Lonchura striata: one gene and its partners. The protein of the gene in region 3 interacts with the protein of the main gene of each other region in a biochemical or structural test. Links are inferred from orthologs where the notes say so. Each region holds a gene or a part of one and is shown on either strand. Other genes may lie near its edges. The genes, in order: PRKN, E3 ubiquitin-protein ligase TRIM7-like, UBE2D1 and RLIM.

The links.
Region 1: the proteins of UBE2D1 (region 3) and PRKN form a complex in vitro, tested with the Homo sapiens proteins (3 studies listed by BioGRID). The link is inferred for Lonchura striata from reciprocal best matches to the Homo sapiens genes UBE2D1 and PRKN.
Region 2: the proteins of UBE2D1 (region 3) and E3 ubiquitin-protein ligase TRIM7-like form a complex in vitro, tested with the Homo sapiens proteins (3 studies listed by BioGRID). The link is inferred for Lonchura striata from reciprocal best matches to the Homo sapiens genes UBE2D1 and TRIM7.
Region 4: the proteins of UBE2D1 (region 3) and RLIM form a complex in vitro, tested with the Homo sapiens proteins (5 studies listed by BioGRID). The link is inferred for Lonchura striata from reciprocal best matches to the Homo sapiens genes UBE2D1 and RLIM.

Annotation. Positions count from the first base shown.
Region 1 is NC_134605.1:36,999,492-37,007,208, forward strand, and holds the start of PRKN (E3 ubiquitin-protein ligase parkin), read right to left. Parts: upstream 3,006-7,717; 5' UTR 2,908-3,005; coding exon 2,901-2,907; intron 1-2,900. Other genes in the region: PACRG (parkin coregulated gene protein), read left to right, coding at 3,625-3,831. UniProt on the Homo sapiens protein: Functions within a multiprotein E3 ubiquitin ligase complex, catalyzing the covalent attachment of ubiquitin moieties onto substrate proteins. Substrates include SYT11 and VDAC1.
Region 2 is NC_134631.1:326,528-334,121, reverse strand, and holds the start of E3 ubiquitin-protein ligase TRIM7-like, read right to left. Parts: upstream 3,018-7,594; 5' UTR 3,003-3,017; coding exon 2,929-3,002; intron 1-2,928. UniProt on the Homo sapiens protein: E3 ubiquitin-protein ligase that have both tumor-promoting and tumor-suppressing activities and functions in several biological processes including innate immunity, regulation of ferroptosis as well as cell proliferation and migration.
Region 3 is NC_134609.1:2,764,892-2,772,129, reverse strand, and holds the start of UBE2D1 (ubiquitin-conjugating enzyme E2 D1), read right to left. Parts: upstream 3,009-7,238; 5' UTR 2,925-3,008; coding exon 2,901-2,924; intron 1-2,900. Other genes in the region: CISD1 (CDGSH iron-sulfur domain-containing protein 1), read left to right, coding at 4,256-4,286.
Region 4 is NC_134616.1:16,784,943-16,792,309, forward strand, and holds the start of RLIM (E3 ubiquitin-protein ligase RLIM), read right to left. Parts: upstream 3,022-7,367; 5' UTR 2,899-3,021; intron 1-2,898. UniProt on the Homo sapiens protein: E3 ubiquitin-protein ligase.

The DNA of each region.
Region 1 (7,717 bases), on a different chromosome or scaffold from region 3:
AACTATATAGAGTCGACCTTCTACATTTTTAAAACAGTTTAGGGCCTTCTCCTGGCATTTTTGCTCTTTGAGAGAGATTTTCTGAAAAAATTTCACAAAGCTGTCCCAGCATCTTCCTTCAAAATCAGTTTTATTTTTTTATTTTTCCCCCCAGAACAGGTGTTCAAGAATGTGACATTATTGCCAGGGCTGTTGACTAAGAAATAGATCAGCCAATCCAACTGCAGATTGCCACTTCCATTCCACTAACAACAGGTTTTAGCTGATCCAATGGTAAGCAAATAAATAAAATAAAGAACAAGCTTTAAAACCCCACCTCAAAAAAACTCCCCAGACCTACCAAGCCCCTAAGTAGAGGTAATGCAAGCTATGTCACTTAACTAGCTCAGTCCGGATTCAAATTACACTTTAGGGAACCTGAATGTGCATAAGTCTACATGACCTGGTCTGTGAGATATGAAGAGAAAAAAGAAAGATAGAAAATAAAAAATCAGTTAAAGGAATTATCATGTGTATATTATGGTATCAAATTATGAGGATGTAAGACATTTCTAGAGATATGAAACTGTGAAACATTTTGAAAAATATACTATGTATTTTATAGGAAAATTCTTTTAAATACTCAAGTTAAAAAAATGGGCAGATTATTTTCTCACCCTTGCATTCCTACCCCCAATTTTTGCTATGGCATTCCCAGCTTCCAAATGTTTAGAGGAGTTTTCAGAAAGTCTCAAAGCAGGATACTGGACCAGGTCTCCACATCACATACTTTGAAGATAATTCTTTTTTTGGGGGTGAGTGGGGGAGGGTGACATGGTTTTTGGGGTGTGGGGAGGCTGGGATAGAGTTAATTTGACTTAGAAGCTGGTAACATGATGCATCTTGAATTTAGTTTGAGAATAATGTTGGTAACACACTGGTGTTTCAGTTGTTGCTAAATAGTGCTTAGCCTGAATCAAGGACTTTTCAGTTTTCCATGCTCTGTCAGTGAGGAGGTGCATAAGAAACTGGGAGAGTGTGGCCAGGAGACAGCTGACTCAAACTAGCCACAGGGACATTCCACACCAAGAGATAAATTGGTGGGAGCTGGTCTGAGGATGGGCTGGGCATTGGTCAGTGGCCAGCGTACAATTTTATTCTGCATCCCTTTTTCCTCCAGTTTTCTTCTTCTCTCTCTTTTTCATTACTATTATCATAATCATTAGCATTATCAGTATTTTTATTACTCTGATTCAATTATTAAACTGTTCTTATTTTACCTGAAATTCTCCTCCACACCCTGCAAGGCAGGGGAGGAGGGGATGAGCCAGTGGCTGTGTGCTTCTTAGTTGCCAGCTGGGGTTAAACCAGGGCAGGTTGCAACTCATGTAAAGCTGTGTTTTTAAATATGCAACTAATTGGTCTGTACATTTCATAATCAATATTCACAAACGTTTCCATCTGCCACAGTGAAAATAAAATTATCATTCCTCAGTCACAGAACATTTATATTCATGAGCAGTAAGTAAATATTTAGATTTCAGTGTGAAGCTAGAGGCATCAGCTCTGTAACCACATGGGCAGTCCCTTAGGTACACTCAACTTACTTTTCTGAAGCATTGAAAAAACAAACACACACTGCAGTTCTGCAAACACATGTATTTTATATACTACAGCGATACATCAGATCAGCAGATAACATTGCAAAATAAAAACACTGGGATACCTGACCCTCTGTGCTTTCCTTAAGGCAAGCCTTCAATTTAAAATGTTCTCTACTACATAAGAAAAAAGTAGCTCAAATGACAAAGTCCAGTAAGAAAAATTCCACAATTAGGAAGGGATCATTTGCATTAATATGTATACAGAGTGAAAATACTGGACAACATTCTTTTTAGTTTTAGCAAAGGTGAAAGAACATTAGCTATACACATGCAATCATATTTTCACTGCTAAGAAGACCCAAAGCATTCTTGGAAACTTCTGAGACGTTCCATTTAAAAACAATAAACATTTTCACAACAAAATGCGGAGTTTTCAATTTGATCAGATCTTAAGTAGACAGCAACCATGACACCAATGCTGACGAAACAGCAAGCCTGAGAACAGCAAGGAGTTGCTAAAATGCGTGTGTGCAATCCACTACCTTTTATAGGTTTTACTTTAAATAATTCTCAAAACTGAGAAAATCAAAGATGAAATGCATAATAAATAGGAACGCTACAAAACAGATCCTGCAATTTCGAACTTTCCCAGGTATGGATTAATCTTTCAAGGAAGTGAAGAAAACCCACTGCTGAAACAACCAAGTCACGCTTCACACCAGCATTGGATGGGTACAGAAATCAACTCAAGGTCCAAAGGGTCACACTCCCAACACCGTGAGGTGTTGAAAGTTTCTTCTTTTCCAGGTCGCCACCAGGTACCACGCCGGATTAATAACAAGTATATATGCTGGCAAGGCCAAAAAACGTTCGCAGATCGCACAAACCTTGCCGAGAAGCACTTACAATCGATATACCGAAAAGGAATAAAAGAGCTCTAAAAATGAGCTCAGTCACAAGAACTGGCCAGACCTTTCCCCCCCTCCCCCGGGGGTAACAGAGGAGGGCTTTGCCCCGCCGCGGTTTAAGCAGCGGGCCAGGAGCGCGGGCGGCCCCAGCCCGCCCCGCCGCGAGTGCGAGCTGCCCCGCCCTGCCGAGACACCGGGCGAGGCGCGCGGGGACCGAGGGGAAGCGAAGGGGGCCGGGACAGCCCCCGCCGCTCCCAGGGCCGCAGAAGCGACAGCAGAGGCAACAAGAGCAGCGGCGCCAACAGCAGCGGCCGCGGCAGCGCCGGCGAGGAGGGCGGAAGGGAAGGGGCGGGGAGGAAAGGGCGGAACCGCATCCGGGCGCGCCCCGCTCCCTGACGCGCTCACTCACCGATCATGGCGGCGGCGGCGGCCCCGCGCGCGGAGAGGGGCGAGGCGTGCGCGCACGTGCCGGCCGCACCCACCGCTCCGCGCTGCCCCTTTCGCCGCCCTGGGGGGGTCGCGCCGCTGCGGGCGTGTTGGGCCGGCCCTGAACGCGCATGCGCCTCGGTGGCGGAGGTGGAGGCACGCGCTGGGCTCTCTGGGTAGCGTAGTTCCTGGGCAGCTCACACCCGCACACGCTCTTCTCACGTTATCGCCTCACGTTTCCGCCACACACCGCTAATGACTTTCTCGTTAATTGCTGTCCGCCGCCCCGGTGTGCGGTGCACCGGGGGTAGGTACAGCTGTCCGGGACCGGGCGGTGCCGACGGGGCTATTTGTGATTCCCCTCCCGCTTCCCTCAGGGTTGTTGACGCGTTGCCTGGCAACGGTCGCGTGGTGGCAGGTGCCGACGGAGCTCGGCAGGGCCGGAGCCGGCGGGGACACCGCGGCGGGCGGGAGGGCGGGGGCGAGACCCCCGGGGGACAAGGACATCAGGTGGCGAAGGGCTGGACACGGCGGGGTGCGGGGGACGAGCGGGGATGATGCAGAAGGGGACTGGGGAAGAGGGGCAGGCAAAAGGGGTCTGTGAGGAGTAGGGAAGGCGCGGGACGGGTGTGTGAGGCTGCCGCTGGTTGCGGAGGGAGAGAAGCTGGACCTAATGCCTGCTCTAACTCGCTGGACACGGGACGCTGATGGTCGCTTGTTTTTTCCAGTCCGTAACTTGCATCTGGTCCGCCGTGGGCGCCGGTGGGGAGATTGTAATGGAGGAGGGGCGCCCGGGCCCCTCAAAATTGGCCGGTGACAGGCGGCCCCAGCAGCAGGAGAAGAAGGACAAGCAGCAGGACAAGCAGCAGGCCTGCGAGGGTTTCAGTATTAGAGCCATGATGAAAAACAGCGTGGTATGTTTGCTGCAAGCATAGTGGTGATACTAATTAACTGAACTTGTCCAAGAAGCATAGCAAGTTAGAGCTGTGGATATAGCGTGGCAGGAAGGTGTGCAAGTTTCTAATACTTTATCTGGAGTTTGCTGGTTGCTGAAATTACCCTCGGACTTTGCAGGAGTATTGCTGCAAGTTGCGATACTTTCACCAAGTGCTTTATTTTGGTGTTACTTCTTTTTTTTTTTTTTTTCTATGGTTTTGTATTGGCAGTGCACATCCTGTTAAACTGCCAGCCTATGGAATTGTGCGTGAAGCTTCCTGCCTCCCACTTAGCAAAATGCTGTCCAGTAGTGCAGTATTTCTCAAAAGTTTTCATACACTGGCATGGTATATAAAACTGATATGAATGTCACATAGATCTGGAAAATAGATTAATAGATTTTTTTAAATAAGCTTGGAAAATAACTTCTACACCATCTAGGAGAATACTAAACAAACAAACATTAGTTCTCCAACTTGTAGTTCAAAGACAGAGAAATTGATCCAACAAGTAGCAGTCACAATTTCTAATGAACTTGGAGGCTTGGGAGTTAAAATAGTAGTATAAAGGCCCTTCAAATCTCTTTATACTGTTTTATTTATCTACCTTTATCAGAATTTAGGAGTTAAAAGCTTTAACTAGTACAGAGTACAAATATTCAACATGTGAGTGGATGAGGTAATATTACCATACATCTCTGCCTAAGCTCCTGAATTGTATTCTTCATTTGGACACAGTTCAAGGTGTTAGCAAAGGCTTGAGTCCTCAAGGGTTTTTTTAAATCTATAGAGTGTTCTGACAGCTGTTATGAAATACATTATTTCCCTTTGTTTTGCTGAAGTGGTCTTCCTGGAGCAGTCTCTCTGATCTTGTTATCAAGATGTTATGTTATCAAGAAGAAGTTAGCAAGAACATCCTCTTAAAAAGCCAAACAAGTATGTCTTTAAAGAAATTTTAAATAGAGTAAAAGTTGTATACCTGAAAAACTTTCTCCTATTTAGTAAAACTGCAACATATTTCACCTTACTTGGAAAAACACAAGGTGAATACAGCCAAATAATCTCTTTGTTTTAAAGATTGTTTGGTTTGTTTATTTTTATTGTAGAGATGCATGGAATGAACTATAATACTTCAGCAACCTTTAGGATTAATTTTTAAAATATGTTTCCTGTTCTCCAGAGAAAATTCAAGTAATGGATATTTGCATGTGGTTGTTTACACCTAGATATGTAAAAGACTATTTTGTCTAGAAGAATCAGCAGTTTCAGTTGAGTTTGAGAAGCACATATTTAATTTATAAAAAGGAGCTGTGACTTGTGAACATAACTAACTATGAGTTTAATCAGAATTCAGGTTTCCTTTTAAATATTTATAGAGTATTAATTTTTATGGCTGCCTTTATGACTTCCTAAACATGAACAGACCATTAAATCATGTGATACTGTTGTTAAGGAACTGCCTACAAGTAAATCTGCTGCCTTTGCAGCTACTCACAGAATAACAGAAATTATTTTCTTTGGCATGGACATCTGGAAATCATCTAAGCCAACTTTCTACTTGAAGTGGGCCTGTCACCAGTATCCAGATCAGGTCAGTGAGGGTTTTCCTAGCTAAACTGTGACATCAGGGATTGCCTGACCTCTCTGAGCAGCCTGTTTCATTTCTGCCCTGCTCATCTGTCCCCTCGCTTGCCCTCCCAGCCTGTCAGAGCTCGGGTTTACAGTATTATGACCTGCTGCACATGTTCTACTCATAACTGGGTTGGAAGCTCTGAAATTCTTAGTGGTCTTGGGAGATTCATAGTGCCAGGGCTATGTTTTGCAAGAGCTCCATCTGTGGTCAGGCAGCCACCAGAATAACTTCCAGTGTGCAAAAAAAGGAATATCTCATAGCCACGCTCTCTATGCTGAAGTGGGAGTTTCTTTTTACTTTTCCAACTACTTTTTGAATGGAGCTTTAGATTTATTAAGTACTCACTTGTCAGAGGTTGACATCTTTGATGAAGTTCTCATGGAAGGCTTGGGAGTTAACTGAAGGGTTGAAAGCACAGCAGGAATATCTAGTTACGACATGGTAATTCTTTTTGTTAACAGCATGATAAGGCATAGGGTTAAACGTGTTTGGCATCTCCAGGTCAAATAATGAGGTATTGATTAATAGCCTTTAGTGCAAGCATGTAGTTAGTCTTAAACTCTTAGCGTAGATTACCTTTATGCATATATGACTGTAAATATTATACTAAATGTTCCGGAATTCTTTTACATTGCTTGGGCAAAGAGTGTTTTACTAAGCTGTTTTTCTTGAATGTTCCTGAATAAAGTCTGCTTTTGTAGTTAGTAGTAAGTGCAGAAATTAAGTAGATACAGTATTTAAGACTTTTCTCAGCTCTTGCTAAATCAAAAACTTGCTTAGTGAAATACAATGCTTAAATATTCACCTAAAAATGTTCCTGAACTGAATAAAGTGTTTAAGTTACTCCAAAACTGTAAATTTATATATCAGTTTAGATTAAAAGCAAGGTTCAATAAAGGTCTTCTATAATAACAAGAAACATTTACATTTTTATTGTTTTGTCCTCCGGTGAAATCAAGAATGTTATGTGCTCTTACTTCAGAGGTACTGCATATAGAACTAGGAACACAATTAAAAATTAATGTAGAGACTAGCCGATATAGAAGTGTCTGAACATGAATGTGAGCAGCAGGAATATATCTCAATTCATTTCTGATCCTTTCTAGATGACATTTTCCTGTTTTCTGCAACTGTAGAGAAGAGAATGAAGTGTTAGTGTCCCACTTTTCTGTAATGCGCTGGTGGTAAAAGCACTTTTTCAAGGACAGGATTCATTTTAGTACTTAAAGGAAACAGTAGAATGATAATTCTTATCTATCTCCCAACTCTTATAAGATTACTATTACATTCATGTGTTCCATGACATCAGTCAGAAATTGCCTTCAGGAACAGGCCACAGGGATAGAATGAGAATATTTACTAGATGATCTTAGAAAGGAAGGGATGCTAAAAATTTTCGTTTCTGTATTTCTAAAACCAAAGCAGCTATTCAGCCTTAGAGTCTTAGCTCTGTATAGGGCACAGCTTTCATCGCCTAAAAAAGTGTAATTGCTCTTAAGCAGAAAAATGGTTATTTGTATTGCAGCTCTGGATTTTCATTCTTCTGTTCTACATTTAGGAATCTGCAGTCTCTATGTGTGGGAATGAGTTCTCAATCTTTGTACTTTAAGCACTTCTCTCAAGCCATTTTCAGTAATGTGTTGTGAAGAGCTTTCTTACGCTTTACCATTAGAAAATAACTCCTAGAAAAAGTTTAATTTTAACCATGATGTGATTTGTTTATGTTCCGAAATTTGTGATTTGTCATTATATTTATATTCATCTATCCACTGCATAATCAAGACTGATTTTGTTATTTACTTTGTAGCAGTCAAAGTTTCTAATTTGATTTTGAGGCTATAGGAAAGAATACAAGAAAGTTGTATCTTTTGATTATAACAGCTAATTTATTGGAAGAATCAGTGTGTTTTGGGGCAAATAGATGTCAAGTTAAAGGAGTATTTTGATAGAGGTATATTGAGAAGTAGCACATCTGTCTTGGAGGAACTTCTCCAGTTTAACAATAGCAGTTGTGTACAATCTAGGAGTACACTTCAGTGAGCACTGCAAGACAATTTAAACTGTCAGTGCTCTGGAAGGCAGTCCTATCTTCTTCCTCTCTCAGGCTGTTTAGTACTGCTGCCTGTTGTTGTGTCCTCATTTGTACAATGTTGGCTGCTCAGGGAACTGTTCGTGCTGAAAAAACTCCAACCTTTTAAAGCTCACAGTGTTGAACTGCTGTCTGTGGGATTG
Region 2 (7,594 bases), on a different chromosome or scaffold from region 3:
TGGGAATTGATATCGGGAATTATTTCGGGGATTGATATCGGGATTTATATCGGGAATTATTTCGGGAATGGATTTCGGGAATTCCTGGCAGGCGGCTTCGTCCTGGAGGTCCCGAGGGAGGAGGAACGAGGTCGCCGCGGGGTCCTCCCTGCCGGGGAGGAAGGGGTTAAAGAGGTTTTTGGGGTTTATTTTGGGGATTTATATCGGGAATTTTATTTGGTAATTTATACCGGGATTTTATTTTGGGGATTTATATCGGGGATTTATTTCGGGGATTTATATCGGGGATTTATATCGGGAATTATTTCGGGGATTTATATCGGGAATTGATATCGGGAATTATTTCGGGAATGGATTTCGGGAATTCCTGGCAGGTGGCTTCGTCCTGGAGGTCCCGAGGGAGGAGGAACGAGGTCGCCGCGGGGTCCTCCCTGCCGGGGAGGAAGGGGTTAAAGAGGTTTTTGGGGTTTATTTTGGGGATTTATATCGGGAATTTTATTTGGTAATTTATACCGGGATTTTATTTTGGGGATTTATATCGGGGATTTATATCGGGGATTTATATCGGGGATTTATTTTGGGGATTTATTTCGGGGATTTATATCGGGGATTGATATCGGGAATTGATATCGGGAATTATTTCGGGAATGGATTTCGGGAATTCCTGGCAGGTGGCTTCGTCCTGGAGGTCCCGAGGGAGGAGGAACGAGGTCGCCGCGGGGTCCTCCCTGCCGGGGAGGAAGGGGTTAAAGAGGTTTTTGGGGTTTATTTTGGGGATTTTTATCGGGAATTTTATTTGGTAATTTATACCGGGATTTTATTTTGGGGATTTATATCGGGGATTTATATCGGGAATTTATATCGGGAATTATTTCGGGGATTTATTTCGGGGATTTATATGGGGAATTGATATCGGGAATTATTTCGGGAATGGATTTCGGGAATTCCTGGCAGGCGGCCCCGCGGCGGAGCTGCCCTGGCACGAACGCGGCTGCCGCGGCTTCTTTCCTGCCGGGGAGGAAGGGGTTAAAGAGGTTTGGGGATTTATTTTGGGGATTTATTTTGGGGATTGATTTCGGGAATGGATTTCGGGAATTCCTGGCAGGTGGCTTCGTCCTGGAGGTCCCGAGGGAGGAGGAACGAGGTCGCCGCGGGGTCCTTCCTGCCGGGGAGGAAGGGGTTAAAGAGGTTTTTGGGGTTTATTTTAGGAATTTTTATCGGGGATTTATATAGGGAATTTTATTTTGGGGATTTATATCGGGGATTTATTTCGGGGATTTATATCGGGAATTATTTCGGGGATTTATATTGGAATTGATATCGGGAATTATTTCGGGGATTGATATCGGGAATTGATATCGGGATTGATTTCGGGAATTTGTTTCAGGGATTGATTTCGGGAATTTGTTTCAGGGATTGATTTCGGGAATTCCTGGCAGGTGGCTTCGTCCTGGAGGTCCCGAGGGAGGAGGAACGAGGTCGCCGCGGGGTCCTTCCTGCCGGGGAGGAAGGGGTTAAAGAGGTTTTTGGGGTTTATTTTAGGAATTTTTATCGGGGATTTATATAGGGAATTTTATTTTGGGGATTTATATCGGGGATTTATTTCGGGGATTTATATCGGGGATTTATTTTGGGGATTTATATCGGGAATTGATATCGGGAATTATTTCGGGGATTTATATCGGAATTTATATCGGGAATTTATTTTGGGGATTTATTTCGGGGATTTATATCGGGAATTGATATCGGGAATTATATCGGAATTTATATCGGGAATTGATATCGGGAATTATTTCGGGAATGGATTTCGGGAATTCCTGGCAGGCGGCCCCGCGGCGGAGCTGCCCTGGCACGAACGCGGCTGCCGCGGCTTCTTTCCTGCCGGGGAGGAAGGGGTTAAAGAAGTTTGGGGGTTAATTTATTTCGGGGATTTATTTTGGGGATTTATTTATTTCAGGGATTTATTTTGGGGATTTATTTCGGGGATTTATATCTGGGATTTACATCGGGAATTTATTTTGGGACTTTATTTCAGGGATTTATTTCGGGAATTATTTCGGGAATTATTCTGGGGATTTATTTCGAGGATTTATTTCGGGAATTTATTTTGGGACTTTATTTCAGGGATTTATTTCGGGAATTATTTCGGGAATTATTCTGGGGATTTATTTCGAGGATTGATTTCGGGAATCGGTTTCGGGAATCGGTTTCGGGAATTCCTGGCAGGCGGCCGCGGGCTCAGCGCGCCGGTGTCCGGTTTCTCCGGGACCTCCGGGCACATAGAAAACCAGGAATAAATCTGTTCCCACGAATCCTGGAGTTTTCAATATTTATTTTCCTTCCTTTTCCTTGAGAAAAGTAAATTTTTTGGGGATGTCCTCCGGTTTGGGGGTGTCAGGCTCTGGATGGAGCCGATTTCTGGGTGAGCTGGCGCTGAATCAAAGCCAGAATTCAGAGAAGGAAAAGGAAAAGGAAAAGGAAAAGGAAAAGGAAAAGGAAAAGGAAAAGGAAAAGGAAAAGGAAAAGGAAAAGGAAAAGGAAAAGGAAAAGGAAAAGGAAAAGGAAAAGGAAAAGGAAAAGGAAAAGGAAAAGGAAAGAAGGAGAAGGAGAAGGAGAAGGAGAAGGAGAAGGAGAAGGAGAAGGAGAAGGAAAAGGAAAAGGAAAAGGAAAAGGAAAAGGAAAAGGAAAAGGAAAAGGAAAAGGAAAAGGAAAAGGAGGAGGAGGAGGAGGAGGAGGAAGAGGAGGAAAAGGAAAAGGAGAAGGAAAAGGAGGAGAAGGAGGAAAAAGAAAAAGGAAAAGGAAAAGGAAAAGAAAAAGAAAAAGAAAAAGAAAAAGGGAAAGGAAAAGAAAAAGGAAAAGGAGAAGCGAGGGGCAGAGAGCCCCAACCGCCCCCCAAAACCCTCCCCGCGCCCCGCTGCCCTCGCGTACCTCGGAGCGGCGGCGGCGGCGGGCGGAGCCCCCGGCGGGCTCCCCAAATCCCCCAAATTCCCGGGATTTGCCATCGGGCCGGTTCTGCAGGACGCCCCGAGCGGCGCCGCCAGCCGGGCGGGCTCCCGGCGGTTCCGGGGCCGCGGGAGCCGCTCGGCGGGACCGCGGCGGAGCAGCCCCGCGGCGGCCGCGGCCGCCTCGGACATCGCGGCCCGGCCGGGGCTCCCCGCCGCGTCCCGGGGCCGCGTTTGTCCCCCGGTGTCACCGGCCCGTCCCCGAGCGGGTCACTCACCGCGCTTTGCCCTCCCCCATCGCTCCTGTGCCGAGGTTTCTTCTTCCTCCTCCTCCTCCTCCTCTTCTCCTCCTCCTCTTCTCCTCCTCTTCTCCTCCTCCTCCTCCTCCTCTTCTCCTCCTCCTCCTCCTCCTCTTCTCCTCCTCCTCTTCTCCTCCTCTTCTCCTCCTCCTCCTCCTCCTCTTCTCCTCCTCCTCCTCCTCCTCTTCTCCTCCTCCTCCTCCTCCTCTTCTCCTCCTCCTCCTCCTCTTCTCCTCCTCCTCCTCCTCCTCTTCTCCTCTTTCTTCTGCTCCTCTCCTTCGTGGCAAAATTCCAAAATTTTATTGAACTTGGCCGAGGTTTTTTCCTCCTCCTCCTCCTCTTCTCCTCTTTCTGCTCCTCTCCTCCGTGGCAAAATTCCAAAATTTTATTGAACTTGGCCGAGGTTTTCTCCTCCTCTTCTTCCTCCTCCTCCTCCTCTTCTCCTCCTCCTCCTCCGTGCCAAAGTTATTTCCCGGGAATTTTCATCGCCACTTCCAGAATCTCAATAAAAAGGAATTTAAAATCATCGGGATCTCCTCCTTTTTCTCCTCCTCTTTCTCCTCTTTCTGCTCCTCTCCTCCGTGGCAAAATTCCAAAATTTTCTTGAACTTGCTCAGCGCCCGGATCGCGTTTCCAGCGCCTCCCTCCTCCACCTGTCCCCGGGAAAGTTTCGGCAACTTTTTAACCCTTTCCAGGGAATTTTCATCGCCAATTCCAGAATCTCAATAAAAAGGGTTTTTAAAATTACGGGGATTTAGGGGTAAAATGGAAAATTGTTATTTTTAAGTGCTAAAATTCACATTTTTGGGGCTGAAATCCTCCTTTGAAAAGTACTAATTTATTGATGTTATTATTATCATAGCATTATTGTTATTGTTGTTATATTATTATTATATATTATGCATTATGCATTATGCATTATGCATTATGCATTATGCACTATATATTATATATTATATATTATATATTATATATTATATATTATATATTATATATTATATATTATATATTATATATTATATATTATATATTATATATTATATAATATATATTCTATAATATATATTCTATAATATATATTCTATATAATATATTATATATTTTATATTATATTATATATATAATATATAATATATAATATATAATATATAATATATAATATATAATATATAATATATAATATATAATATATAATATATAAAATTTTATATATTATATATTATATATTATATATTATATATTATATATGATATATTATATAAAATAATAATCTATTATCTATTATATATTATATATAATAATATATATTATTATAATATATAAAATTATATATGTAATATATATAATATATTACAAAAAATATATTTATAAATATATAAAAATTACAAATATATTAAAACGATAAAACTATAAAAATAATATATATTTTATAAAATAATAAATATATTATTCATATATTCGAAATATAATATAGATAAAAATCTAAATGTAATTTATCTATGAATATATATAATAAAAATAGATATTATAAAAAAATATATATTATAAAATATCTATAATAAATATATAATAAATAAATATAAAATATATATACATAATAAATAGATATATAATAAATAGACTTATATATATAATATATATTATAAATATATATAATAAATATGTCTATAACAAATATATCCACAATAAATATATCTGTAATAAATACAATTTTTTGGCGTGGATCAATAAAAATAACATTTCTCCGCCCAACGTGGGGCTCGAACCCACGACCCTGAGATTAAGAGTCTCATGCTCTGCCGACTGAGCTAGCCGGGCGCTGGGAGCGCTCCGGGAAAAGCTGGAAAAGGCAAAATCCCACCCAAAAATTCGGAATTTTCGGGAACCCGGGAGTTAAAAAATTGTAATGGATTTTCATCGCGAGAAGCGAAGCGCTGATCCCTCCTAAAGAGTTTCTGCCCCTTTTCTAAAATGATTTTTATTTTTTATAATATAATGTAATATAGTATAATTTAGTATAATATAGTATAGTATAATATAGTATAATATAATGTAGTATAATGTAGTATAATATAGTATAATGTAGTATAATGTAGTATAATATAATGTAGTGTAATATAATATAATATAATATAATATAATATAATATAATATAATATAATATAATATAATATAATATAATATAATATAATATAATATAATATAATATAATATAATATAATATAATATAATATAATATAATATAACATAACATAACATAATATAACATAATATAACATAATATAGTATAATATAGTATAATATAGTATAATATAACAAAATATAATATAATATAACAAAATATAATATAATATAACATAATATAACATAACATAACATAACATAACATAACATAACATACTATAAATATTGTATTATAAACGTATTATTTCTAATATATTACAAATAATCATGTGGTATAAATAATATATAATAATATATTACAGAAATATTATTTATATTATAATACAAATACTGCATTATATTGTCATGTAATATAATATAATACAATATAATGTAATGTAATATAATGTTAATATTATTTTTATCATTATATATATCTTTATTATAAATGCAGTTATTTTAGCACAGCCGGTAAACGCCTTTCATATAAATGAATACATTCAATAAATTTAATAAATAAAATTAATAAAAAAAATTATTGCTTATTTCTTATTTACTCATTTATTTATCGCTCGCTAACGGAGCGAGAAGCACAAAAAGAGGAGAAAAAGGGAAATTTCGGGGCTTAGGAGATGTTTCACTAAAAAGAGATTAAAAGAAATGAACAAATCAATGAAATTTTAATTGGTTTTTGTCAATAAGAAATTCTTCCCTGACCGGGAATCGAACCCGGGCCGCGGCGGTGAGAGCGCCGAATCCTAACCACTAGACCACCAGGGAGCCCAATGCTAACCAATACCCCCCAAAATACCACCCAAATTCACATTTTTGGGTTAAATTCTTTAAAAAACTCCCATTTTACCCCCAAAATTTTAATTGTTCCCCCAAACGTTCCCTTTTCCCCCCAAAAAATGCCTTTTTTACCCTCCAAAATACTCATTTTAACGCCCAAAAATTCACTTTTTACCCCCCAGAAATTCACTTTGTACACTCAAAAAATTCCCTTTGTACACCCAAAAAATTCCCTTTTTACCCCCAAAAATTCAATTTTTACCCGCAAGAAATTTCCTTTTAACGCCCAAAAATATCCCTTTTTACCCTCAAAAAAAACTTTTATACATCTAAAAATGTCCCTTTTTACCCCCAAAAAGTTTCCTTTTGCCCCCAAAATTCCCTTTTTATCTAAAAATTTCCTTTTTACCCTCCAAAAAATTTCCTTTTTACTCCCCAAATTTCCTTTTTTTGAGGCTTTTGGGGGTTTTTTTTTGGTTTTTTGGGGGTTTTGGGAATTTTTTTGGTTTTTTTGGAGATTTTACGGGTTATTTTTGGGTTATTTTAAGGGGTTTTTGGGGGATTTTGGAGGATTTTGGGTTTTTTGGGGTTTTTTTTGGGGGGGATTTTTTTGGATTTTTTTGGGGGTTTTTGGGTTTTTTTTGGAGTTTTTTTTGGAACAACCTGAAACCCCCAAAATCAGGAGCGGATTTTGGCCGCGATCCCAACTCACCCCCCCAAAAAAACCCCAAATAATTCAAATTATTCCCCCCAGGAGCAGAAACGCGCGACTCCAACTCCTCCTCTCCTCCTCCACACAATAATTTCATTTTTTGGGTTTTTTTTGGGGGAGATTTTGGGGTTTTTTCGGTTATTTTTTGGGGGTAAAAAGGGTAAAAAAACGAAAAAAATTTTCAAAATTTCAGCTGTTTCTGCCCGGTTTCGAACCGGGGACCTTTCGCGTGTGAGGCGAACGTGATAACCACTACACTACAGAAACACCGCACGAGTTTATTATTGTATTTTTTCCAGAATACTTTTAATTTTTAATTTATTTTCCGGAATATTTTATATATTTTATTTATTTCCTGGAATATTTTTAATTTCTGCTTTTTCTCTTCAATATTTTAATTTTTTTTTTAATTTATTCTGGGAATTATTTCTATTTTTGCAAATTTTTTTTTAAATTTTAATTTTTGCTTTTTATTTCCTGGAATATTTTTTTTTTCCCTTCAGGAATATTTTATATTTTTGCAAATTTTTTGGCATATTTTAAATTTTTTTTTCTGGATTTTTTTTCCATTTTTTCTGGAATATTTTATATTTCTATACTTTTATTCAGGAATATTTTTAATTTTTGTTCTTTTTTTCTGGAATATTTTTTTATTTTTGGTTTTTTTCAGGAATATTTTATATTTT
Region 3 (7,238 bases):
TTTCCAGAGGTGGCAAGAATAAAGGCTTCTTTGCACCATATTTGTTCTGTTAAAAAACCTACATTATTTGTTTTGCTTTCATCATTTGCAACATCTGGAATTTACACTGCCCACAAAAATCTCTCAGTTGTTCTTTCAGTGCCCCAAGGAACATCACAGATGGTGTAACTGAACTTTTTTAACAGTATAGAAATTCAGTGCCTCTCTCATACAACAGCAAAGCAAAACACACACAAGGCAAATGAACACAGGACCCTCAGTTTATGATGAGTAAGAATCCCCCGACCCAAAACTCCCTGAGGAACTTTGAGATGAGTTTGTCACAGAGACACTGCTGACAGCTGTGCCTGCAGAGCAGGGCTTCATGTCCTCACTGTTCTTACAGCTACAGCACGAAGGTCAACATAGCTCCATGTGCAGTGATCAGCTTCTTCACTGCTTACTCAGTTGCCCATTTTTAAAGAAGCTTCCAAGCACAATATATCTTTCTGTAACTAAGGTACAGTCTTGGAAGTCCACATGCTATCCTCCTTTGAGGAGCCCTCAAAGATGATTAGCCAAAGGCAGGATGCAATGACACAGGTCCCAGTGGTGATATTATTTAGAAATCAGACAGTATGACAAAAAAATATGCTTACTAACAGGCTGACATATTACAGCTTTGCTTCCTTTGTAGGTGTTATCACAGTGAACAGACAAATTATCAAAGTTACTGTGAACAAACACTCAAGCTGACACTAAAATCCTTTGGCTTTGTTCTGAACCACCCTAAACCTACAAAAGCTTAACTTCAGACAGTATGTCTAGACTGATGAGCTCCAAGCAATATCGCTGTGTTTGCTGACACTGTTTTGTTCTCCAAAGAATTCCTCTAGGCACTTTGAAACCACAGCACTTCCTCTACTCCAGATCTTACCCCCTCCTATCCTTCGGACACAACGTAACTATGAACCTTTACAGCCAGTCTGAAACACCAGGAAAGTAAGTGAGACAAACACACCAACATACAAATGCATTTCATCTACCGTTAAACTTCCATTTCCATAGTTTTGGGGAAAATTTTATGTATTACAATGACATCATAACAGTTTGTCTTTTCAAACTTCTCCATTTTAACTTTCCATTTGAAACAAATTTATTTCCTTGCCATTCCCTTTCCTTTTCTACTTCTCAAGAAACAGACTTCTAGCCAAATCCCTCTGGTAGAATTCTTTTTCTTCTCCTGGAAAGGCAGAAGAGAGTGATGGGGGTACTTAATGGGAAAAAAAGAAAACTAGCAGTAGTAATTTCTGCAGCAAACTAGAAGCAAGTGGTAACCAGTTCCAATTTAATCTCAACTCTTCTTGGACTTACCTTACCCAGTATCTGTTCATGTTTCAGATAGAACTTATTGTATAACTAGGCAATCTCGTAGCACCTCACAGTCAGCAGGTTAGAAAGCATTTCTTCATTTTGAAAGAGTAGAAACAGAATTTAATAAAGCTAACAGAATGAAAGATACTTAGATAAAAAGCCTAACCATAATTTCACATCTATCAAAAGTTCTTAAATGCCACATTAAAGAAAATTGTGGCTTTCCGATATGTATAAACATCTCTAAAGAAGAAAAAAAGTTATGCAGGCAACATGATAAAAGTATGAAGACTAATTAATTCAATTCCAGCAGGACCTCATTTAGAAAGCCCCAAATCATCACTTCATCTCAAAAATACTAGATTACCAGACTTCTCCCTTTGTGTGTTTATTTTAGCAGAAAGAAGCTGAACAAGAATTGGAAAGATATCGTAATCAGAACAATCCTTTTATTGAAACCTGAGGACAAGGAGATGTTCAAGAAGAGGTGGGAAATGAAAGTGACAACAAGAGGCAAACCATTTGTATAATATGTAGAAGCACGACAAAGTTATTGCTAAAGAAAACCATTGTAGTAATTTGTTAATATTTGATATAGTGGTCGAATGCAACAACCATGGCAAAGGTGATATGAAGGAAAAAAGTTGTCCTGTAATTGCACTTTGTGTAAAGGCATAGGCTTTGCAGCATGGGACAGGACTACCAACTTCTGAGAGAAATCCATCCAAAATAAGTTGAGATCTACTGTAGGGTATCCCAAATCTGCCTACCGTGGGGTTAATCCATCTCTATAGAATCCTATTTCAGCAATACCAATGGCTTCTGACAGCAAATGGGAATCCTGCACAAGAAATAATCGCACCGTCACATAACCAGGATAGCAGCAATGCCGCCTTAACAGGGCACATCAACAGCAACCAAACACCAGGGATTCTGTTCCACGGCCAAAGCACTAACCTTTAATCCAGCCGTGCTGGCCGCGGTACCGTGTCCGTACTGCACAGCGGTCAGCTCAGCCTTGCCAAACAAAAGGAAACCGGGAATCCACAACTTCAACCAGGCCCTTACAAGTACCAGCCCAAAACACCACCACTGGGATACGCTCAAAGGTCACACCAAGAACTGTGCTGACAACGCTTCTTAACCCAGCCTACGGCCCCGTTACACAACGGCAGCGACGGATGTTGTCCTGCGCCTCTGCTGAAGGCGCCGGCAGCACCTCGGCTTTCCCCGCTCCCGGTCCACGAACGGCGCCTTGAGCACCGGCTCGGGGCGCGGGGCCTTCAGGGCGGCAGGGTCCCGAAACCGAGAGGCGGCCGGCGAGAGCCCCCCTCCTCCGTCTCGCACCCACTCTTCTTCCCCGGCTGCCGCCGAGGCAGGGACGAGTCCCGGCAAAGCAAGCGCGCGGCAGCAGCTGCCGCGGCACCCCTCGCTGAGCCCGGTCCGGCCGCCGCCTACAACCCGCGGCACCGGGGAGGGGGCAGCACCGGCGACTACCCGAGGGCAGGGGAACCTTTCCGCCCCCTCCCACGGCTCGCCCCACTCACTTTTTGTATCCGCTTCAGCGCCATGGGAACGCGCGGCGGGAGCGCGAAGCAGGCGGCGGGAGCGCGGGGCGGGAGCGCGGGGCGGGAGCGCGCGCCGCGGAAGCGGGAGGGGCGGGGCCGCAGCCGCCGGGCCCTTTGTGCGCTCCTGCGCATGCGGGGCCGCGGCCGCGCGCGGGGCTCGCCGGGAAGCGCAGTCCGCGGGCGGAGCGGCTCTGCGCGGGCGCGGGAGCGTCGGCCGGGCGCGCCCCGCCCCTCGGGCTCCGCGGGGTCAGTCCGTGTCTGATGAACACGGGGGGAAGGCCGCGGCCGGCACGCGGAGAGGTGAGGAACAGGAAAGTAACCGTGTGAAGCTTCAAAACTGCATACAGGGAAAAGGTGTATCATATTCGTCATGGTGTGTGAGAGAAGCAGTAGACGTGTGGGTTGAAAAGTCTGTTGAACAGGTCGTAGAATTATTAAAGTTGAAAGAGACCTCTTAAGATCGAGTCAGTGCGGAGCAGTCACGCAGAGTGCACTGGGGCACACACCCACAGGATTTTCTCTCTCAAGGTTTGGAAGGGTGCAGCCTCCTTTTACCCTGAACTCCCGGCTGCACGTTGCCCTCTTTCTTTCCCCACCGGCTGAGGTACTAGGAAGGTACAGCCTTCCCGAACTGCCTAGCACATATTCCCCCCTCGTATATGTAATTTTCCCCCAAAGTTCAGAAATTCGGGCTTGTGCCAACCCATTTGTTTCAGAGTCACACTGTCTGGGTTCTCTAACAAACCTGTGGCTTGAAGTTGGTAGAGACATTAAGGTGCATTTCAAAGACATTAAAACCCATCCCTCACCTACGGAAGCATTTTGTAAAGACATAAGTACACATCTTTGCTATAAGGTCCAACCATAAACGAGGTCCCAGAGTCATTAACCAGGTATAGAACTTAGATAATAATTTTTTGAGGTATAGTAGTTCTCACATCAATACCCAAGCTTATGAGGTTCGAGGCGGCTGTCACTTGGTGGATATCACTTTTCCGCTTAATCTTTCCACAACTACAGAGGAGAGGGCGCACGGAGCGATCTGCTCTAAGCGTTTTGCAGAGCAAAACTGACAGAAGAAGAGAACGGCGGCGCCGAGCCAGCGCGTGTGCGCAGGACGCACAGGGTGCCCAACACCCATGTTAGAGCTGCAGAGGCCTCCCTGAGCGCCCTGCGCCGGGCGTCGGGCCAGTGACAGCGCTGCCCGCTCCTCCCTCCCGTCCCGCACGCCGTAACCTCCGCCTGTCCTCTCCCCGCCGGGAGGCCTTGAGGGGGCGGCCCCGCGGCCATCTTGGGCAGCGGCGCGTGCGCGGTGCGGAGCGGCAGCGGCAGCCATGGGGCCGGGGCAGAACAGCGCCGTGAGGGGTATGGCTGGCCGGGAGCCGGAGGGCTGAGCGGCCCGGAGGGGCGGGGCGGGCCTGGGGGCCCGCGGGCGGGCGGCACGGGGGGCGCCCCTCGGGGGGGGGCGGCTCCGCATGGAGCCCCGTGCCCCGGCGGACCCCCGGGACAAGATGGCGGGCTGCCCGCCGCCGGCCCCGCGGGGTGCGGTGGGGCCGGGGCGGCCGGGGGGATCCGCTCCGCAGCAAAACCCCTCCCGCGGCCGGCGAGGCGCGAACGCCGCGGGCAGCGCGGAGGGGCCCCCTGCCCCCGTCCCGCCCCTCTGCAGAGCTGTGAGGGCCCGCAGCGCCGAGCTTCGGCCCCGCAGCGCCGAGCTTCGGCCCCGCCGCGCCGAGCTTCGGCCCCGCCAGCGCGCTCCCGGATTTTATCTGTAGTGGGGACAGTCCGTTTCAGACGCCACTGTTTTGTTTCTGTGTTCCACCTGTTGGAGTGAAAATTTCGGGAAAACCGGTAAATTTTAGAGGTTTTGTCTGGCTCTCAATGCCCGCTGCTGTACAGTAGAGGTAACGGTGACATTCGCGCTGTGTAATGATTGACTTGAACCCTGCCTGAGGTAGCGTTGTGTGTTTTAAATGCTGTTGCACAACCGGACAGGATGAAAGAGTTAGGCCGGGTAGAGGATAGAATAGAAAGCTGAATTATCTAATTTTCTCTAAAATATTAGCTTCACATGCGTGACTGGTTTCCACTTGCAAAGCTGTTCATGGTGTATGTCCTTAATTTAGCGGGCAGATGTGTTTTTTTTTTTTTTTTTTTTTTTTTTGGTTTTTTTTTTTTTTTTTGGTTGTTTTTTTGAGGGGTGGGTAGGGTGGAGATTACTGGTACAGAGGATGCTGGCAAACACATTAGTCTAAAATGGGCTATAGTGGTGGAAGGCTATGCTTGTTAAAATAATCAAATCACTGAGAATCACTTGGTAATACCTTGCATCCAGGTTGTGTTCCCAACGGCAGCTTGCTGTCATTTATAATTTTGCAAGAATTTGAACAGTTCCTAGACATTGGGAATTAAGCAGAAAATCTGTGTGGAGATGGGAGAAGAATATGCTCTTAAACAAACTGAAAATATCCTCATTGTCTAACAAAAGCATAGGAGCAGCTGATGGCACTAGTCTGGAGGGTGCTCTGTTTAGCAGGAGACAGCATTAGGTTTTTGTGATTTCTGAAGAGATAAAACTTGATCAATGCCTTGTGACTAGCAGGCAACATTTCTTCCTTCAGCTGGCATGTGTCTCAGGCTGATGAATTTTGAAAATCATTCTCTACTGAAAACTAGACATCAGAAGCTTACCATATTTTTGTGAGATTTCATTCGTGGTAGCAGTGGGGGGAGTTAATTGCTTCTGTGCATGTGTGCCCTTTGGAAGGCAGTGAGTAGCACACCTATTGCTTTTGGTTTGAGAGGTGTGGTTGTTTGCAGGTGTGACCCCACACCAACCACAGATCTGATCATGGTGACGAGTCTTTTACAGCTTGGTGAAATCCAGCAATCTTCTTCCCTCAGGTGGCCTCTTTGCCATATGTCTTCTGTTGAATTAAACCTGCCAGTCATAATCTCATTTTTTTGTCGGTGCTGTGGAGTGGTAGAAGTGATTTTGTCAGCTTGACTGCTTGACTTTTACTGTTAGGTTTTTTTGTGTATCTAGTTATCTTGATACACTTCAGTAAGTGAGAATCACGTGTTTCTCCATTATTGATTTTTGTTGTGGGCAGTGACACTACTGGACTGTCATGAACAACTCTTGCACAATAACAGTCTCTTCATTGGCAACAGAATTGGCAAGAAAAATGCTTGAAAGTTACAAGTACTTCTGGAGACATACAGTTTTTCATGTCAGGTGTTATTACTCTGTGACTTTAGAATAACATAAATATTTTCCGAGCAGCAGAGGTAACTTGACTGTTGCCTCTTAGGGCAGACTTGGACTAACTTTGTCAGGGTGTAGCTCTCCCCCATATTGTTGATAGTTGCTAGAATGTAAATTGATCTGGGTTCTTAACAAGGATCTTGGTGGAGGCAAGGCCACTTCACTTTCTTAATCCACTTCTCAGTGCAGTTGGTAAATGTATGTTTTCCTGTGGATATAGTCTCAGAGCTCTCTAGCAGATCCAAAAACTCCCTCTGTAGTGTAGACCTGGAAACATCCAGAGCAATGCTCTAGATATTTAGAGAAAGAAGAAGAGAGGAGAAACTTCGATCTAAATATCTTTCATTAGGATATGTCCAAAGAATACAGAAGAGAATAAATCCCTATCAGTGTCTTATTGCCATTCTCGTCTCTGATTTTTTTTTTTGTTTACTTCTGTGCACTGCCTGCTCTCCTGGGGCTTCATTCTTTGAATTTGTTTCCTTCTTTCCATCTCTGTTGCTGTCTCTTCTCTCATTTGTGTGTTAATTTTAATGGAGTTCTAGCCAAATTTTTTTTTTCATTGTTTAGTGCTTAAAACACAAAACCAATTTTTTTTTCTGCCATGTTACACAGGCCTGTTTTGTCTTGTCTTGTAACACTGTGGTTTGGTATTATACCAGCATTTGGAGTTCTTTAATAATAACTCAAAAGTTGCTCCTACTGCTTTTTATTTTAGAAGAAATAAAAACCCCTTGATACTCTACATCAGTGTCAGTCTGTTAACAGATGCCTCATGCATGACCTTAGGATTTTTGGCAGCAAACTGTTGCATTGGCACCAGAGGTCTTTTGAAACCAGAGGCCTTTTGAAACCGTTCAGAGTATTTAAAAATAAAAGTTTTATTCTTCCACATGCATTTTGTGGCTAACTTGGTTAGATTAAAAGGGTGTTCCAACTTTTCCAGATCTGTGTGTGAAACACGACAAAACTTACTGCCTCTGAAACCCTGTAGGATGATTTTCCAGTGAGTCTATTGAATAAATTGAAGTATTTCTTCTAAATTTTCATTG
Region 4 (7,367 bases), on a different chromosome or scaffold from region 3:
ACACAAGCTGTGGTTAGTGAAAACACCAAGCCAATCAACACTCACTGACTTTCAATTAAAAAAGAAAAAGCCATCTTTAAATTGACTGCTGAATCTTGCTGTCTCCACACAACTGCTGCTAATGCAGGCACTGCTAACAGTAAAAGAGCAACAATCACTGCAACCACAAACCACAGAGGAATTCCGATACGTGCGTTCCTGTTCTTGCTGATATCCACTGCCCAACAAAGAGAGGTGGGAAATCAAATTAAGGCAAATTTATCTATTTATCTGAATTTAAACAGGCATCTGTACCATGACAATTCCATTTCTGATACCATCCCAAGGCAGAGAAGCTCCAGCATTTTAATAGGACTATGTGCACATATACCTTGCACATCGAAACCCAGAGTGCTCTGAGCACAAGATGATTTTAAATACTGAATGAAGATAAAATACGTGCTGGCTTTTCCTACATTCCATAACCATCAGGTGGTTTTATGAGACCATCCAACCCTGCAGACCTCCCCGAGTCAAAAGCTGATCCTGAACACCATGCAGCAGCCAAAAGCTCCTAACAAGCACCTCATTAATACAAACCTGAGCACTCTGAAGGAGACACAGGCTTGTGTTTATGATCTTACCTGCAGCCAGAAGCTGTGCAAAGGCAAAACCAGTCCCTGGGATGCTCCTGGCTATCCCTACTCAGCACACAAAGCTCCCGACTAAGTTATGACACTACTAAACTCTTTAGAAGTTTTGGTTTTGAGAAGCACAAGACTCCCATAAAGGGATCATGAAGGAAGTGTTCACATTTGGTTTTATCCCTTCACGAATAATTTTTGCAAACTCAGCCGCTGATAAGTTTTCACCAAGACTGAGATTAAACCACAAAACCTTGGCTAAACACCCAATAATCATGTCTGGATTCAAGTGTTTTAAGACATGGAAACTGAAGTTCTCTACAAAAAAAGAATTTAGGACACTCCAGTAATGTGTTAAGCTACATTAGGCTGGACTTAAACACAAACTTTAGACATATGGAGTCATATGTTATATAAACATATTATGTTTATTAATATTAATAACATGTTATTAATATATAGCATTGTGTTCTATATTAATTGCATTGTTATTATGCTGTGATTTTTAAAAAAATGTAACACCTCCACTGCAATTGGAATTATTCTGCTAAGATCAAGGGATTTATTTTGCTACATCCCCACAGGGAAGAGGACTAAAGAACAAGCAAGGCAGGTGTCTGATGTAAGGGTGTTTTGAAAACATTTCAATCTAAGGATCACGCTATCCATTCCTCAAAAAAAAAACCCAACTACACATATTGGAGAGCAGACACTTGCAACAGCCTTTTCTAGGAATTCAGTAATATGGAAAATAAATATGATAGAGATGGCAACCACTAGAGCTTGAAAAACACTGGTGTGTGGTTATTTCAGGGACAAACATTTACCCAGTCAGAGTTGCTGATGAAGGGAACACTGCAGTTGTTGTGCTTTAGTGGTCTAACATAACAAGAAACCCTTAATTTTATAATGTGTGGTGTGTTTTCCCTTCCCAAGACATAATTCCAAGCTATCATTATTTTAATTCCAAAATGGTAAACCTGTAGAGGGAACAGAGTCAGTTTAAGTGCTAGGTGACCACTACAACTAAACTAAATATCTGACCCTCAATTAAGATAATTAACTGCCCGAGAAGCAGCGAACTGTTTGTTTTAAAAAGACTTGACAAGTCACTGCAATTAAAACTCGGGGACAAATTAGAAGTTCTTTTGAACATTTGACAAGTATTTCCAAGCTGAAATTACCCAATACTGCCAACACGTTCAGGAAAATAAATGTGATGTGTGACGATACTATTGGGTATTATCAAGTTTGTATTCTTGTTTAGGAGCTTCTCTGCATCAAGGCTCCACCTTGCTGAGAAACAGCAAAATAATACTACTATTATTTTAAAAATTCAGGTTTTTTTCCTGTGAAACCTTTTGTCAGACTTCTGCTGCACACTAAAATCGGGACACATAATAAATTTTATAAACAAACCTTAATCATCACTACATGCCAGGCAGATATACATACACACAGCTTGACATTGCTCCTCAGTTAAAGCAGACTCGAGATAAACACATACATGCAGCTGGACTCGACAAAGGTTTTGAAACAGAGAACCAGAACCCTTAAATACTAACAAACATCGTTAAAAGGGGCAGGGGAAAACCTGCACAGGAAGCTAAGGTGACAGAGCAAAGATGACGTGCTTAACTGGGGAGAAACTCAGCACAGGAATAGCAAACAGCACAGGTCTGAACAGGTCACAGGCTGATCCAAAGCTCTGCACAGCGGGAGAGGAAGAGTTCTTCTCGCCTGTCTTCCACAACAAGGCTTCTTGGCCCAGCTCTCGGGGAGCACGGGCGGAAAACGCGGCCGTGAGAGGCTGCGGTTCCCGCAGCAGACGCCCAAGCGCGGACGAGGCCCAGGGCAGCAGCTCTGACCACCCCCTCCCCCACCCCTCCCGAAGGAGCCGCTCACCATTCCTCCCCAGCCCGGCCGGACACCCGCAGGGCGCGGGGCCCGTCTGCCCTCCCCGCAGGCAGCGCAGCCCCCGCTCCAGCCCGCAGCGGAGGATCCGGGCGGCTCCGGCGGGAGAGGCCCCGGGGTGACGGAGCGCGGCCCATCCGGGCACACCCGCCCAGACCGCCATCACCGCCCCCCGCTCCCTCACGGCACCGCGGACGGAGCCTCCCGCGCCCCGCCGAGCCGCCCCGCCGGCCCCGAGCCGGCACTGAGGGGCTCCGCTCCCGCCTCCCGCTGCGGGCAGAGGACGCCGCCGCCTCCCCCGGGCCTGGGCCTCTCCCGTCCCCGGGCCATTTTGAGAGCCCGCCCCCGCCCCGCTGCTCACCGCCCGCCGCCGCCGACGCCCGCCGCCGCCCCGGCTGTGGGTGCGCCGCTGCCCGCGCCGCTCGGGGCTGGGTGCCGGCTGTCCGCGCTCCGCCCGTGCCGCTCCGCCGCCGCGCCGCCTCCTGCCCGCTCAGGCGGCCATTTTCTGCTCCATTGTTACCAAGGAACGGGGGGCCGGAAGCGGCCGCCGGCAGCCGGAAGTGGGGGCGCGCGCGGCCCCGCGCAGGCGCGGCCCGCGAGGGCAGCCCCGCCCAGCGCGCGCGGCCGCGGCCCTCAGGGGCCGCCGCCATTTTGGTGCGGGCAGAGGCTGAGGGCGGGGCGGGGCTGCCGTGGCTGCTCCTCAGCTCAGAGCACCCAGCACCCAGGGAATGCGGGGGGGACCGGGGTTCAGCAGTGCCTGCCCGTTCACTGTAGGGTCCGTATCCCCGCGGTCCCCTAAGTTTCATGTTGTCTCAGGTGTGGGCGCTGGAGAGAGGGGATTCCGTGCATGGTCGATGGTGGCCAGCAGTGCCAAAAAAACAAATACTGGCAGTACTGGCGTCTGTCGGTGCGGGTATTCATCCTTCCAAGCATGGACATTCCTCCCCCTCTAACCATGGGCATTCCTCCCCCTCTAACTATGGTCATTCCTCCACCTCTAACCATGGGCATTCCTCCCCCTCTAACCATGGGCATTCCTCCCCCTCTAACCATGGGCATTCCTCCCCCTCTAACCATGGGCATTCCTCCCCCTCTAACTATGGTCATTCCTCCACCTCTAACCATGGTCATTCCTCCCCCTCTAACCATGGGCATTCCTCCCCCTCTAACTATGGGCATTCCTTCCCCTCTAACCTTGGTCATTCCTCCACCTCTAACCATGGGCATTCCTCCCCCTCTAACCATGGGCATTCCTCCCCCTCTAACCACGGACATTCCTTTCCCTCCAAGCTTTGACATTCCTCCACCTCAAACCGTGAACGTTCTTTCCCCTCTATAACTATGGCAGGGTTTTCCCCCCTCACTTGGTGGTGTGTACTACATGCAGCTCTGAAAACTGAGATATTCATGTTTTCCTATGTGAGCCTTAATGAGTTGAACGCCAGACTTCCCATGTTATGTAGGGTTAAGCACTTCTGCAGTGTTCCCCCTCACTGCTGGAATTACCGAGGGCAGCTGAGTTTTGAAAGATCCCATTTTAATGCCCAAAATGTCATATCTTGCTAAGGTCTTGCAAGGAAGTTATCTTCATAGTATCTGATACATAGAGAAAAAACGTATTCCTGAGGATTTTACACCATTTCAGGAAGCCCACGAGACACCTTTTTTTCTCCTTTTGGTGGTTCATTATAAAAATAGCACTGTCAAGTTGAGGGGGGTGTTGCATTTAAAGATTGTGGAAGCTGTTAAGTTTCTACTCAACAATACAAGTCCAACTTCTAATGTAAATGAAGTGGTTTTATATATTAATGTGAAAAATGCATATTTTATGATTGCCTCTTCACAAATATTAAATTGAATACTATGTGTGTTATGGAGGGTTATTTTGTAATACTGTATTAATCCTTTTTAAGTAGTGTGTTAAATACAGTTTTAGGTTACAACATAATGTTAAAATAGAAACTCTGCAATGTAGGATATTTTTTACTAGCTCAAGAAAAGGGATATGATAATCAAGAAACTCTTCGCATAGAGATAACAGCAACAGAAAATCTAAAGAATTACAGCCTCCTTATCAGAAAAGACAAACATTCTTCCACCTTCTCTCCATCTTTATGGAACCACCAGGATTAAGGGGAAGAATTTGACAAAAACCAGAAACATTCTTAATTTGCAAAGAATTTATGCATCATGTATGAGATAGATGAATATGCAACTGGCTGTTGCTTTTAAGGGTTATTCCTTTGCTCCCAAGACGTGTTTTTGGCAGTTCAGTGCCCCAAAACATCCAGATGTCTGTAATTCTTTGCTTTTTATTGTCTTGTAGTGTCCTAATCCTGTGTCCAAATTTTTACTACTCTAATTTTATTACTATTTTTATAACTATTTTATTATTAACTTTTAAGATTAAAAAAAAAAAAACAAAAAACAAGTGATTGGTGTTTTTCACAATTCACACTTTAAATTCCCTCCAGCAGACTTGAGAACTCAAAGGCAGCCACAGTGTCCGGGCGAGAGAAGAGGGAAGGAACAGGTACAGGGCATATTTCTCATCAGTTTTACTTGCCACAGCCTGTGACCAGGAAAGGAAGATGCCAAAATCCTTAATAACAGAGAGCAGGAAGGAGTCCCACTTTCATCTGGAGCAGGTGTAGGTTCCCAACTATGTTTTTGTTCAAATAACCTGTACATGAAGCAATTGAGTATTGATACACCACATACCTGGAGTGATGGAGAGGTAGTACTTAACACAGCATAAAACTTGCTTGGACAATGTTCACTTCTTATGATTTTAAAAGTAAATTGGGGTTGGGAGGGTGAGTTTACATCAGACCAGTCTTTTGCATCGTTGCTAAAGTTACAATTAAATGTACTGCTGGGTCAAACTGTGACCTAACAGCTCTGCTTTGGCTGTTAAATGTGAGTAATATTATAAAAAAAACCCCAAAGAAGAGTAAATTTAATGTCACAAAGCAATTTTGTGGTTTTAATGCATCACAATACTTAATGCACCAAATATTTAATGCACCAAAATATTTGCCACTGGGAAAAGTTGTCTTGCTCCTGACCCATGACAAACGTATGTTTTATGTGGTCCAACCCCTACAAAATCCAGTGGCCAGAGAAACTGTATCCCCCAAATGGAGACCCTGTGGCTTAGTGTGTGGACACTGCTTTATATTTGACAGGCACCACTGAAGCTGGCAAAAAACCCATTCCATTTTTCAAACGTGGATAATTCAGGGAGCAGGTGATGGGCACACAATTGATCCAGCTTATCATGGGAAGCCTTGTGCCCAGGATTGATAAGGCAGCCATGAGTATGAGTGTTGGCAATTAGCACAGCAGCAGGACATTTCTGTGTCACCTCAAAAGAAATCAGAGGTGAGGGCACTGCCACAGGCTGGTCATGCATGAAAGTGAATCCTGCCTTTCCCCCCACCTTTTCTGGAAACAAGGCAAGGTCAGAGCAGGATAAAAGTGGCTTTGTTTAGACACCAGTAACCTAAGCAGCAAAATATGAGGGATTATTGAGCAAATGGGAGGTGGAGCATATTCTGTTTGGATGGAGGGATAAGATGATGGTTTATGTTCTTGGAACAGCCTCCTGACATCTGACACATCATTTTGTTTGTATCTTTCCCCCTCAACAGAATAGGTTTACTTGATTAACCCTACCGAAAGTCTTGAAAATCATCAAATGGCAAAGCAACAGAGCAATAAAACATTCCTCTTCACGTCTGTGGGTGAGCTCCGACTCTTGAGGCAGACATTTGTAGTTTGCTGGGAGATGAACACCCGTGAGGAGCAGAGACAGCAGCTGGATCCTGCTGATTCACACCTTCCTTAGCAGTAAAAACTTGGAGCTGAGGTCCAGGGCACACAGCTGAAGAAAAGTCTCTCCCTGGGTGCGATTTGGTGGATTTATTTGCAAATGCCCTCACAGAGTTGATCAGGTACAGAATAAGCTCTGATTTTTCAAAACCACTTAATGGATTTCAGTATCCACTTGACATTAATAATAATTAATGACCTGTGCACACACATCTCCTAAACAGCTTTGACAAAATTAGGAGCAGTGTAGCAGCATATTTCAAAAAGCTTGTAGGGGAAAATATATTTGCATAGAAAAATTTGCAGTATAGGGAAAAATTCAAAATCTACAGCAAAAGCATGGTGTAATTCCTACTTAAGTGTTTTCAATTTGCTACTGTGTGTATAGCAAAAGAGAATTGCAACACTTTTCCATGGTAAGTTTAATGTCGTTTCCTTCAATGGGGGTAAATAAATTTGTTTTAAATTCCCTAGAGTTTTAAAAACTGCTTATTAGGTATGCAGTGATAGATGAAAAAAATGTTGGCTTATTTTTTTTTTTCTAAAAATATATTAAAATAACTCATTCTCAGTATAGCTAAGTAATAATCCAAATGCAGTGAGGTGTGGAAATCTGAATCTCTTGGGAGCTTCTAAACCTGAGCAAAAAAATTAAAAATAACAGACCCACCAAACTCAGATCTTTGTATACTCCAAGTAGAGGTAGAGCCAGGAACTGAGTGGGGAGATGAAGCCAGCTGGGGAGTGTAAATGCAGGAATTCTGATTTTTCCCAGCTACCTGCGCTTAAAGCTGAGCTGCTGTTTACTTTTTACATTGACTTTGTCTTTCTGTAGATTCTGGCAGAAAGTTACATACAAAGTCTGTGATAAATGTAGGATGTGGAAACTTCTGCTGAATTTGCTTAATCCCAAAGGATTTCTCTGCTGTTTACTGTCACCTAGTTAAATTCTATAAATCCAGTTGTACCTAAAAAATTCAGGCTGCAGAAGATGAA